Caenorhabditis elegans: one gene and its partners. The protein of the gene in region 2 purifies or fractionates together with the protein of the main gene of each other region. This does not show direct contact. Each region holds a gene or a part of one and is shown on either strand. Other genes may lie near its edges.

Evidence for each region.
Region 1: the proteins of sld-2 (region 2) and T19E7.6 fractionate together in Caenorhabditis elegans (co-fractionation; one large-scale study listed by BioGRID). This does not show direct contact.
Region 3: the proteins of sld-2 (region 2) and natb-1 fractionate together in Caenorhabditis elegans (co-fractionation; one large-scale study listed by BioGRID). This does not show direct contact.

What each region holds. Positions count from the first base shown.
Region 1 is NC_003282.8:5,666,926-5,671,295, reverse strand, and holds T19E7.6 (SCP2_2 domain-containing protein), read left to right. Parts: upstream 1-1,792; 5' UTR 1,793-1,800; coding exon 1,801-1,926; intron 1,927-1,990; exon of another isoform or gene 1,991-2,011; intron 2,012-2,276; exon of another isoform or gene 2,277-2,375; intron 2,376-2,718; exon of another isoform or gene 2,719-2,739; intron 2,740-2,743; coding exon 2,744-2,902; intron 2,903-3,170; exon of another isoform or gene 3,171-3,195; intron 3,196-3,538; coding exon 3,539-3,628; 3' UTR 3,629-3,749; downstream 3,750-4,370.
Region 2 is NC_003279.8:3,739,618-3,743,227, forward strand, and holds sld-2 (Ribosome biogenesis protein NOP53), read left to right. Parts: upstream 1-1,833; 5' UTR 1,834-1,850; coding exon 1,851-1,938; intron 1,939-1,985; coding exon 1,986-2,185; intron 2,186-2,231; coding exon 2,232-2,285; intron 2,286-2,334; coding exon 2,335-2,478; intron 2,479-2,527; coding exon 2,528-2,607; intron 2,608-2,727; coding exon 2,728-2,911; 3' UTR 2,912-3,030; downstream 3,031-3,610. Other genes in the region: larp-5 (HTH La-type RNA-binding domain-containing protein), read right to left, coding at 640-717.
Region 3 is NC_003283.11:7,982,033-7,985,331, reverse strand, and holds natb-1 (N-alpha-acetyltransferase 20), read left to right. Parts: upstream 1-1,900; 5' UTR 1,901-1,914; coding exon 1,915-1,992; intron 1,993-2,041; coding exon 2,042-2,132; intron 2,133-2,183; coding exon 2,184-2,313; intron 2,314-2,360; coding exon 2,361-2,583; 3' UTR 2,584-2,675; downstream 2,676-3,299. Other genes in the region: abhd-12 (Serine aminopeptidase S33 domain-containing protein), read right to left, coding at 436-678, 725-926, 983-1,104, 1,173-1,189; F26D11.1 (Gluconokinase), read right to left, coding at 2,695-2,887, 3,041-3,299.

The DNA of each region.
Region 1 (4,370 bases), on a different chromosome or scaffold from region 2:
AGCAAAAAAGCGTAACGTCGAGAATTTTCGTTATCTGGGAAATAGGCCTTGTAGGCAAAACAATGCCTGCCTGCGTGAATACACCTTGTATCGCTTAATTTCTAACTGTAGAATAGGCATGGACTATCTCCATTCATTCGGGTTGTAGGTACAAAAGTAGGCATTTTCTATCTGAGTTCAATTTCCACGAAAATTCTTCCTTTTTTTGATATTTCTAGAAGTTCACATAATTTTACAAAAATAAAAATACAATGCCGCGGGCTAGAAGAAAGTAGACAAACTATAAATTAAAAAACAACCGTTTTGATGTCATTATACCACTAACGTGAAACAGTGGAAATTTTCGAACGTTCCAAAATCAAGTTATTATATGAAAAGGCAGAAAATGTTTTAAAATGTTCTCTGTAGATTTTATTCGTATGTAGCAATGTATTGGCGATCTGGTATACCTGAAAAACTCTACCATGGAAATCCACACTATGATAGAAAACATTCAACATTAAATTTTTAATCTGAAAAAAGTTGTTCATGTTGTAAGAAATCTGCACACAAACGTAAATAATTTTCAGTTTCAAGAGTGTTTTCAAATTTCGCAATAGATGCCCAAATCTAGTTTCAAAATCCCATGCACTTTGTGTTTTAGTAGAGCTATTTTTATTTAACTTGACGAAACATGAACATTTTAGTTTTTTGTGTAGGTTTTCAGGTTTTTTTTCAAATACTACACTTTTTAATGTTTTACTGTTTCAGACAAAGTAGATAATTTTCAAACAATGTTTTTTAATGTATTGAAGCTAATTTATATCTCAAAAAATGCAATTGTAAATAGACGCCCACACTTAATCAAAGTATCAGAGATCGTGTTTACTTTGAGATGGTTTTCACCAATGTGACGTGGCAAAATGATTTATTTATTTATTTTTCGTTATTTTCACAAGATGCTCGAATTGTGAAGAATTAAAATGATGTAGGGTTTGAATTTTTATTACTGTTTCAAACATTGTTTGAAAATCAATGCGTAATTACTATTGCGTTCTCGGCTTTTTTGAATTTTGAAGTTAGAAATTTGCAAAATAAGAAATCAGTTTATGCTTCCAAAAATTGTGGTTTTTTTTTCTGGATTTTTAGCTATCGAAAATTAAATAATATATATTTACATCAAGAATACAAAAGAATGCAACTTTTTATAAAGTCGAGGCTAATTTTTATATTTAATTTCAAACATTCTAAAAACCCTGGAAACTCTAAATATTTACAAAAATGTAAATAATCGAGTGTGATTTTCTGTGACAAATCCTTCCTTCCAATTCTCTTCTTTTCAATTTAAAGTGCGGTCACTGCCACAGACATCTCATTTTTCACCTCCACAGCCTCCCGGCGGTCACTATTATTCCGATCCTATCTCATTCACTTTTGTTTCAAAATATTTTTACAATGGGTTCTTCTTTTTGCCTCATTCTTTTATTTTTGTTTTGTGCTTTTTATGAGTCATTCCTCTTGAGATGTGATTCTTTTTTTTGGAATGTTTACCCGTTGAGGTACTCTTTGAAACTGTTATTATTACTTTTCTTAACTTTGCCTTGTGATTTCGAATATAAAAGATACGTTATTCGTGTTTCTTGTTGACAATAGTTCATGCTTATCACCGTCCCATTTTTATCAGTTTTATCATTTTATTATCAAATTTAAATCAATCTTCTTCATTTGTTCCTATTTCTTATATTGAAATCTCAATTAATTGAAGTCCATTAGTCTATATACTTTCTTTTAATTCAACTAATGGATTCTTCAGCGACTAAAATGTTCCGAGAGAAAGACGTTTCGACACGACTCATTCGACCGACTATCACTGAAATTCACGTGGATAAACTTGCACTTTTTGTGGAAAGATGGAATCACGATTGGGAAATTGATGCAAGTATTAAGGTAATTTTAAAATTTTACTGTTTCAGAATTTTCGTTTAAAAAAGTATCACGTGACGGACAATGTTAACTGTGGTTCAACTGCCAAAATATTTTTTCGTAATTTTTAGAACATTTTCTGGAATATATTAAGCATATTATGTCTTGCAAGCTGGTTTATACCGATTAATCTTGGAGAACTAAGTATGAGTAGTTACTTCGTTTAATTAATAGAACCAAAAAGTTTCAGATTTTTCAAATTTCTGGTAAATAGCCAAAAAATACGGACTTTGTAAAATTTCAAGTAAACTTGAAATCCTAACTTCGTCGTATGTTCCTCGCATATTGGTCATCTCTCCTTTTTGCAATTTCGGTTGCCTCGTTCGTCGTATATTCGTCGTATATTGCGTCGTACATTCCGGACTTCCTTCTAAATGTATGAGCAAAATGCGAGGAATGTACGATGCGAATTGCCGAGATAGTCATGCAGATAAAAAAAACTCTGTAATGTTTTAATTAATTAGAAATACATAATAAATTATAAAATTACAAGAACAATTTTTCGGTCAATTCCCAAAATTGTAATAAAGGAAAGGCTTTTTTTTTAGGAAATTTCAAAAAATTTGTTTAAAAATTTTCGCTGTGATATTTTTCATTTCAGTACACGCAAAAAAATAGTAGGAAAAAACACCTTCTTGTGACTTTCGATCAAATATTTTTGCAGTCGAATAAATCAAAATAGGTTTAGTAAACAAATTCGAAAAAAATTACTGTTTCAACAACATTTTAAACACTTTCACTAGAAAACATGGCTACTGTACTATGTATTCATTATGTCCAGATTTTCGACGAAGGAATTGCACAATACATGCTGACTGATGTTGAATCACATTACAAATATTTCGCGGCATTAATCCTATCCAAACCAAGTTTGCGGTGCCGAATTGTTAAAGAAGAGCCAAGAGATGAGTTGGAAGAACAGGAGAACCGAATTATTTTGGTGAGACAAAATTAGGTATTAAATTGACAAAAAACAACTAATTTCCTCCAAAAAACCCCCTTTTTTGAATCAGAATCTCCCAAAACGTTTTTTTAATTACCTCCACGATGAGAACTGCAAAACCGATCCACGATTTGCTCCGACCGCTTTTGAAACAATCAAATGAAATGAATGGAATTCGAAAACACTGATCGGTTTTGCAGTTTTAATCTTTTAGAAAACTTGTGATGAAAGATGGGTCACAATTAAACATACAATGAAAATTTAGTCCCGGGAAGACGTTAAACTATTAATAAATGATTAAATCGAAATTGATATAAAAACTTGTTGAAACATGAATTTCATTTTTTTTTTAATAATTCGCACTTTCTGCATTTTGTCAATTTGTAACATCTGGAAGCCTGCCGAGTAGACACAAAACTGCCTGCCTGCCTTTAAAGCTACCTACGCCTGATCCGTGCCTACTGGCAATTATTGGTTTTTTCCGAAGGAAGAAAATTAGAAATTGATAGTTTAAACTGTTACAACTCTATACATCGGATATTATGAAAAATTTAAATCTGAGGCGGTAGGCAGGCGTGTAGGCATGTAGGCATGAGAAAAAATTTTCGCCTATTAAAATAAAATAATTTCCAGCTCGGCGGAGAAAAGCTGAATACAGAAAGCCACGGAAGTATCGAATTTCTAAAAAATGTACTGCACAAACGTGGATATCGATTCGAATAACGACAATTATACATGTTCCCCAATACACTGATGAATAACTAATGCACGTCTCTTGTCTGTACCCTCCTCAATTTGCACCCCCACAATGTTTTATTGATTAAAAAAAAGAATTGTTGAGAACCTTAATCACTGATGTTTTACCAACAACTTTTTCATATTTAGCCTGTTTATTTATTTATTCCGGTTTTCTCGTTCTCTCGTATCTCCATTTTGCTTTATGGCACGGCCTTATAACACAAGTTGAGACACACTTGTGGATGCCGACGCCCAGAGGCCCAACAAACTGAACGCCAGTACCGACAGGCACCGACCCCCAGGCATTGGAAAAAGCATGAGAGAGTTAGACGCCGAGAGATAGAGACAATGTGTCTGCGTTTCTCGGAATTTTCAGATATTTACTATTTACATTGACCTGTTCATGAAAAACTGACATTAAGCAATTTTCAGATTGCATTTTTTGCTTAAAATGATATAAAGTTGAGAACAGTTTTACAGGGAGGCCCTGTTATTGGACTGGGTCTTGCAGCGAAATGTTGTTGTTTGTCTGTAGAACTTTTACGACAAACCAAGATGTTTTATTTCTAGTTTGAAAGTATTTATATTATTAATAAATAAAATAAATTTATTTCAAAAGTTTTGATGGTCTCTAAAAGATTAGAACTGAACAAAAAATTAGTAAAAATGCTCTTTATTGGAAAATTGTCTAATTTTTTTCTCTTTTTTCTGTGCAGCTTTTAAAAAT
Region 2 (3,610 bases):
AAGTTGGTGCCTATTAATTAAACATCATAAAGATTTGATAATAAATATATACGTCTATTTTCAGAATTCAGTGGCAGAATTCAATGGCAGAATGGGGCAAGAAGTAGACAACACACGGGAAAACTCTACGAGAAATATATCCAGGCAGGTGCAATTCAGCTGCCAGAATACTTAAAAAGTACTTTGGAAACTGTTATTCAAACGGGGGCTTTGCGTCATACGTTTTTAAGCGAAATATACTTTTTGCAGATGCAGAAAATGAACTTTTGAGATGATTCTTCCAAAATATTTCAGAATTATTTTAAAATTGAGAAAAAAAATTATCTTTACTCAAGGAAAGCACGGAGTATTTCTAAAAATTATTTCAAGCAATATTTGAACTCTCCGTGAAATATTATGGAGCGCACGATATACGACTTAAAGAAAAGTGAAACGAGATCCGGTTTTTATGGTATAGGTGCGAAGACTAAGTGAAAGTAGACGTAGAAGTAGCTGACACTTTTCGATAAAAAACCCCTACTAAAATGGGGTTTGTTAACTTTTAAAGTAGCCATTTTATTTTTCTAGTTACATACAAATCTTTAAAGGAGTGTTTCGTTACACAGAGGCACGCCCGAATGCAAATTAGATGACACAAACCTTCTGAACGACAAAGTTTCGCGGTGACACTTCTGTGCAAATGTAGAAGGCGTCCGAGTCGAGCTCGAACGTGTCCATCTCCGAAAAGGGACGTCGACGCCGTGGAGAATGGTGAACGAAGGAGAAGAAGTCAGTATCACGTCATCCGACTTATGGAAGCGAATGGAGAAGTGGGTGGTGGAGAAGAAGGAGCGTAGAGAGGGGCGACGGGCGCAGCAGCAGTGGCCAGACTCTTCTTCTCTGACCGTGTCGTGTCAGCCGGTTTTGTGAGGGCAGAGAGAGAGAGAGACACGTTGAACGACACAAAGAGACGGAGACAACGCAAAAAAAAAGTGAGAAGGGGAATGTGTGCACAATATGGTACGCAGACGACGATGTGAAAAATGGAGGGACGAATGGCAGGCAACAAGAACTGGGAAGAGGAAGAAGACGCGCTTCTCGATTGTTTTTTCTAGAGCGAAAAGCCTGGAATATACTGAAGGCAGCGGACGGGGCTCTCCTGCCATCATTAGGGACCCGCAAGAGAAATGAAATAGAAAAGCAAGGGAGATGGAGAAGAAGTATGGAAACAGAGACATATCCCTTTTCAGCAATTCTTCGATTAGTTCGACAATTTCATGGAGCCAAGGTTTTGGAGTGGAGAGAAAGTTGAATTCAATGAAAATGTCATTCGGCTAAATATTTGATAGAGGAAGATGATGTTAATGTTAAATAACAAATTATTTAGTACAATTCAAGGAATACAGCTTCAAATTAGTCAAATGTTTACAAACTTTACAATAAGGAGTTGAATTTAATTAAAAACCAAGTAGAATTATTTAAAATTTTATTCCTAATATGGAATAAGCACGCGTTTCCTAATTGACAGTTCATATTCTCTATTCATATTATCCTATTCAGAAAATTTCATCAAAATATCAGTTTAAAAGCAAGAAAATACAGAAAAAAGGCTACAAATCTGGAAATTTTCAGATAAAACGTGGAAAAAATATATAAAACAGAGCTGCGATTCAAAGCAAGCGCTGGAAAAGTGTGCGGTGGAGCGCACTTGCCACACATTTTTGGCGCGAGTTTTGAAAACAGCTCCTGGTTTTTTGGTTTTTGCTCTCATTTTCTCTATTTATTTTCTTATTTTCTTTGTTTTCACATGTTTTCTGCCGAATCTTTTCGATTTCAAATTAAATTTTTAAATTATTTTCAGCCCGAACGTAATGGAAGAGTGGAAAACGTCTTTCCGAGAGATTTATGGAAGATCACCAACGGCAGGAGATATTTCTGTAGCTCCGAATCATATTAAAGGTAATTAATGGAAAAAAAAACGTATTTACATTAAATTATTATTTCAGCTATACTTCAATCTGAAAAGAAGGAGAATGACGAGAAAATCGAAGAGAAGCAAGCGAAACGTGGAGTGAAGCGGAAGAATTTCGAAATGAAAATGATGGAAGGCGAGCAATTCAGCCCTATCAAAAAACGAGTTAATCTTAATCAGCTCGGCTCGGAAAATGATAAAAATCCAATTCCACTGAGATCTTCACCCAGAAAGGTTGATATCGCATTAAAAACTGCTGAAATTTAAAATAAAATTGCAGAAAATGATTGCGATCGAAGTTTTGCCGGAAAAGAGCATGGTGTCGCCTAAAAAGGTTTGAAACTTTAATAATCTTTATAATAATAAAATAAACTAAATTTCAGAAGCCAGTGGGATCAGTTCCGTTCGAATTCGACGACTTTTCCCCTGTGAAGTCATACTCCGCGAGCACATCAAAATCTGCCGTTAAATCTACGCTAACACCGATCAAATCTCCAACAAAACGCGCTTACCAGAGACCATTGAGGGTTTGTTTTATTTAAATACTAATTTAAAATTTCCATTTTCCTATTTCAGGATCTCAAAATGCTTCTCTTACCAACGCCGGAAAAGGGTCAAGAAGTTGAAGGTCCGGTTGAAGAATTCGATGATGAGACGTGAGTTTTAGATTTTCATTGAAATTTCGAGCTTTAATTTTCGGAAATTTGCAGATTCCAGGCTATTTTAAGCATTTTTTTGACACATTTCATGCAAATCAATCTATAATTTTTTTTCAGAAACGAAGATGTTGCCAAAGCACGTTCCTACAATCCAGCAGCCAGAAAACTCGGCGGTTCATCAAAAAGCGATCAAAACTTCCAGAAAATCAATCTGAGAAAGAAGCAATTCGTTCGCGGAAAAGTTACCGCAGAGCAGAAGCGAAAGTTGAAGAGAAAACAAATGTTCAAGAAGAAGTACTGAATATTCTAATTTGTCTAGAATTTCATTTTTACATTATTATTATTCGGATTTTTATGTATTTTATTTTATCATTCACTTATCGGGTTTTTCAAAAACCGCAATAAAAGTTTTAAAGTTTTTTTTTTTTAATTGCGTTCTGGGGCAGGAGAACTAAAGCTTCAACTTTTTTCGAATCGGAATTTTAGGGAATAAAAATAGAGTGCATTTTTTTTTGGTTAAATTCATATTACAGAGATGAAATATTGATATTTTGCACGAAAATACTGTACTCGGTCTCGAAGCGACCGATTTTTAATTATTGCAAATAAGTGTGCGCCTTTAAAGAGTACTGTAGTTTCCAATTCCTAATTTTCGCCAAATTTTCATCGATTTTTCATAGTTTTTCTCCAGGTTCTTCAAATTTTTATGTATATGTTTTATGCATTTTCACATTTTTTCGATAAATTTTCAAGAAACGGGGGACAAATTGAGATAGTCAATTAAAATATGGCAGCAACAAAAAATTTCCAACAACAGTACCCTTTAAAACCCGGTCGCTTCGAGACCCGTCTTTTTACATTAAAATCGCAAATTTTCGCAATATAATAAGCAGATTTGCAAATATTTCAGGGTTTTTTAGATTGAAAATAGTTTTGAAAGAGGAAAAATCTCTATTCAGACTTCCAACTTGAATTTTTTTTCTAATTTTTCAATTCGATG
Region 3 (3,299 bases), on a different chromosome or scaffold from region 2:
TTTTCATTTTTTCAGAGAAAACTGAAAAAAATGTTTGATATAACAAAAAAAAATCAATTAAAAAATTTTTTTGTGTATGTCGATGATAAAAAAAATTTGGAAATGTTTAAATTTTTTTTAACAAAAAGAAAAATGGCCAAAACTTGAAGCAATTTTTCGGAAAAAACGAAACATTTCCGAATTTTGAATATGGAAGTTTCGAATTTTGATTTACACCTGCAACATATGAAGCTGTTTTTAATTTCTTGAAACCCGATTTTTCAAGAAAAAATGTTATTAATTTTGGTGAACTAGAGCTATGCTCAAAAAAGCCATCTTAAATTTGTATTTTTTGATATCAAAATCAGTCAGCATTTTTTTTTTGCATTATCCTCAGTACTTTAAAAATTGAGTTTAAAAATTTCTGATTGCAGTGAAATAATAAATTTAACTCACCCAGTTCCCATCGAATGACCCCATACAATAACAGGCGTCTTCCCGCAATTCTCCTTCAGCCATTCGTATACTGTTTTTGTATCTTCAACAATTCCTTTTTCGGTTGGTGTTCCTTCTGAATCTCCATATCCTCGATAATCGAAACAGACGACATGATAATTACAATCACTGAGCAAATTGTACATTTCCACACGATGGTAGAATGTGCGATCGAACGAGTTTCCATGAGCGTAGAAGATAATTCTGAAATTTATTGATTTTTTTTGAATTCATTCTTTGAAAATCCTACTGATTCTCTGAATCCCTCATCATATCGTCAAAATCTCTCTCTGTCGGATGTTTTCCTTCTGTTCTCCATTCTAAACTCAATTTGTTGGGCAGAATGTGCCAAACACCAATCCTTCCACTTTTTCCAGGCAAATGAAGAGATCTTCCGATTGATTTAACGTTGTTCGACGCCAAATCATTGTAATCGGTGTTCGGCAGACGTCCTTAACAAGGTAACATAGATCAAAGATAAAAGATAAGATAAAAAAGAAAAACTAACGGAAATTGAGAAAGAAGATGAACTGTGTGTAGCGTGGAAGAAAATATACCAGTATTGGAAGGAAGATGACAATTGAGAGGACTAGAATTGTGATACAGAGTAGTAGCGGTTGAATAAGTACACTGAAATTAAATTTTCGTTTAATAAATCAAGTTTTAAAATGTGGAAAAATGCCTAAATTTAAACTTACATAAAATAGCCTAGCATGATGTTGATATTTTGTTAGTTAACCGCTTCCATTCGAGTAGTCAAGTCACCTGAATGCATACAAAATGAGGTATATTAGATAGTGTACTTGAAAGTGAAAATGGAAGCAAAAAAACTGGAATTTCTTTAAAAGAAAGAGAAAAGTGGAAGAGAGAAGCAGAGGTATACACAATATACTCACCCTGCTAGTCACTTATTGATTTTTTCTCCTGTTAGTGTTTTGTTTGTACTTGATGACGGTCAGGAGGAGCGCCTGACCGCCTGACCGATTTATTTTTTGAAACACAAAAAACGAAAGAGGATAATTTTTCAACGGACTACGGTGGACAAGTCCGCAAACACCGCGCACTAAACTTGCGTACTTTAGGAATTTGCAAATTAATTTGGAATTTTACTCTTTTTTATTAATTTTTAACTTAATTAGCCTGATAATAGCTTGTTTTATGCTTAAAAATAAATCAACGAGCTGCAAAAATAATTTAAATTCTGACAACACAGCGCTATGCCCTTTACGAAATTTATTTGAACCGTTTTTAATAGTGCCACCTCGTTTTAGCACTTTTTCAACTCTTTTCCGCGTTCGCCAAATTTATTTTCCCATTTTGTTTGCAAATAACGAATTTAAAATTTGTTAACTCTCTCAAGTAATGCAATTTCTTTGTGATTAATATAACACTTAAATTTACCCTTCAATATTGCAATATATTGCAGAACTGCGAGTAAAAATGACAACTCTCCGGCCATTCGACGTTATGGATATGTTCAAGTTCAATAACGTGAACTTGGATATCAACACTGAAACGGTAAATTGCTCAGTAAATAAAAAAAATTTAAATATATTTATTTTTGCAGTATGGCTTCCAATTTTACCTGCACTATATGATGAACTATCCGGAGTATTACCAAGTTGCTGAACATCCAAACGGGGAAATTATGGCCTATGGTTTGTTTGAAAATAAATGAAACATAAATGTGAAATAGTTTAATTTTTCAGTCATGGGAAAAATCGAAGGACGCGACACCAATTGGCACGGACATGTAACTGCTCTCTCTGTGGCTCCAAATTTTCGTCGATTGGGACTAGCCGCCTACATGATGGAGTTCTTGGAACGTACTTCTGAAGCGTAAGTGATGGCAAATTAATATTTTATTAAAATCTAAGAATTTTCAGTCGTAGAGCATATTTCGTCGATCTGTTTGTTCGTGTTTCGAACAAGATCGCCATCGAATTGTATAAGAAGCTTGGATATGTCGTCTACCGGCAAATTATTGGATACTACACTGGAGATAGGGACGAAGATGCTTTTGATATGCGGAAGTCGCTTTCTCGCGATCCTGAAAAGAAAGCGATGGTTCCTTTGAATTATCTCGTGCACAGTAGAGACGTGGATTAATTTTAGATTGTTTTGTTTAGTATTTATTTATTGTTTAATGTTTATTGTGTTGGTTGTCTTGTCAGTTATGACAAATTATTAAATTTATTTATATTATTTAGATTTCTAGAATCATTCACAAATCAATGCCAGAGTCTTTACAATTGTATCAACAATTTGATCCACATTTTCACTATTCGCATCAACAGTGACGATATTTGATTCATCGGGACTCGGAAGTTCAAGTGTAGCCAGCTGACTATCAAGTAAAGTAGATGGCATGAAGTGTCCGGGACGGGAATTCACGCGTTGCTGAAGAACTTCCCTGCAAAAAATGAAACGATGAATGCGTGAAAATGTGTGAAAGTGGGAAAACGAGCGGACGGAAGCGAGTGCGAATTTGAGTTGTTTGTTGTCCATTTTCACTTTTCTGCCCATTTCTTTCACCACATTTTTTTGCGCGCTGAACATTACTTGCCTTTTTAAATTCAACAGAATGAAAACAGCTCTTCCGCTGGCTCCATTGGGAAGATGTTCACAAAGAATGGATCTATAACGTCTTTTAAGCGCAGAACAAGCGATAACGTATCCTTGATTGAGTCTTGCGTAGTTGTTAATAGCTTGAAGCCATGGAAGTCTATCAGAATCATTCAGTGGTGTGCCGGCTTTCATTTTCTCTACATTTTCAGGTGAATGGAAAGTATCACCATCTTTGAATGGCCGTCTGAGCTTCTCAG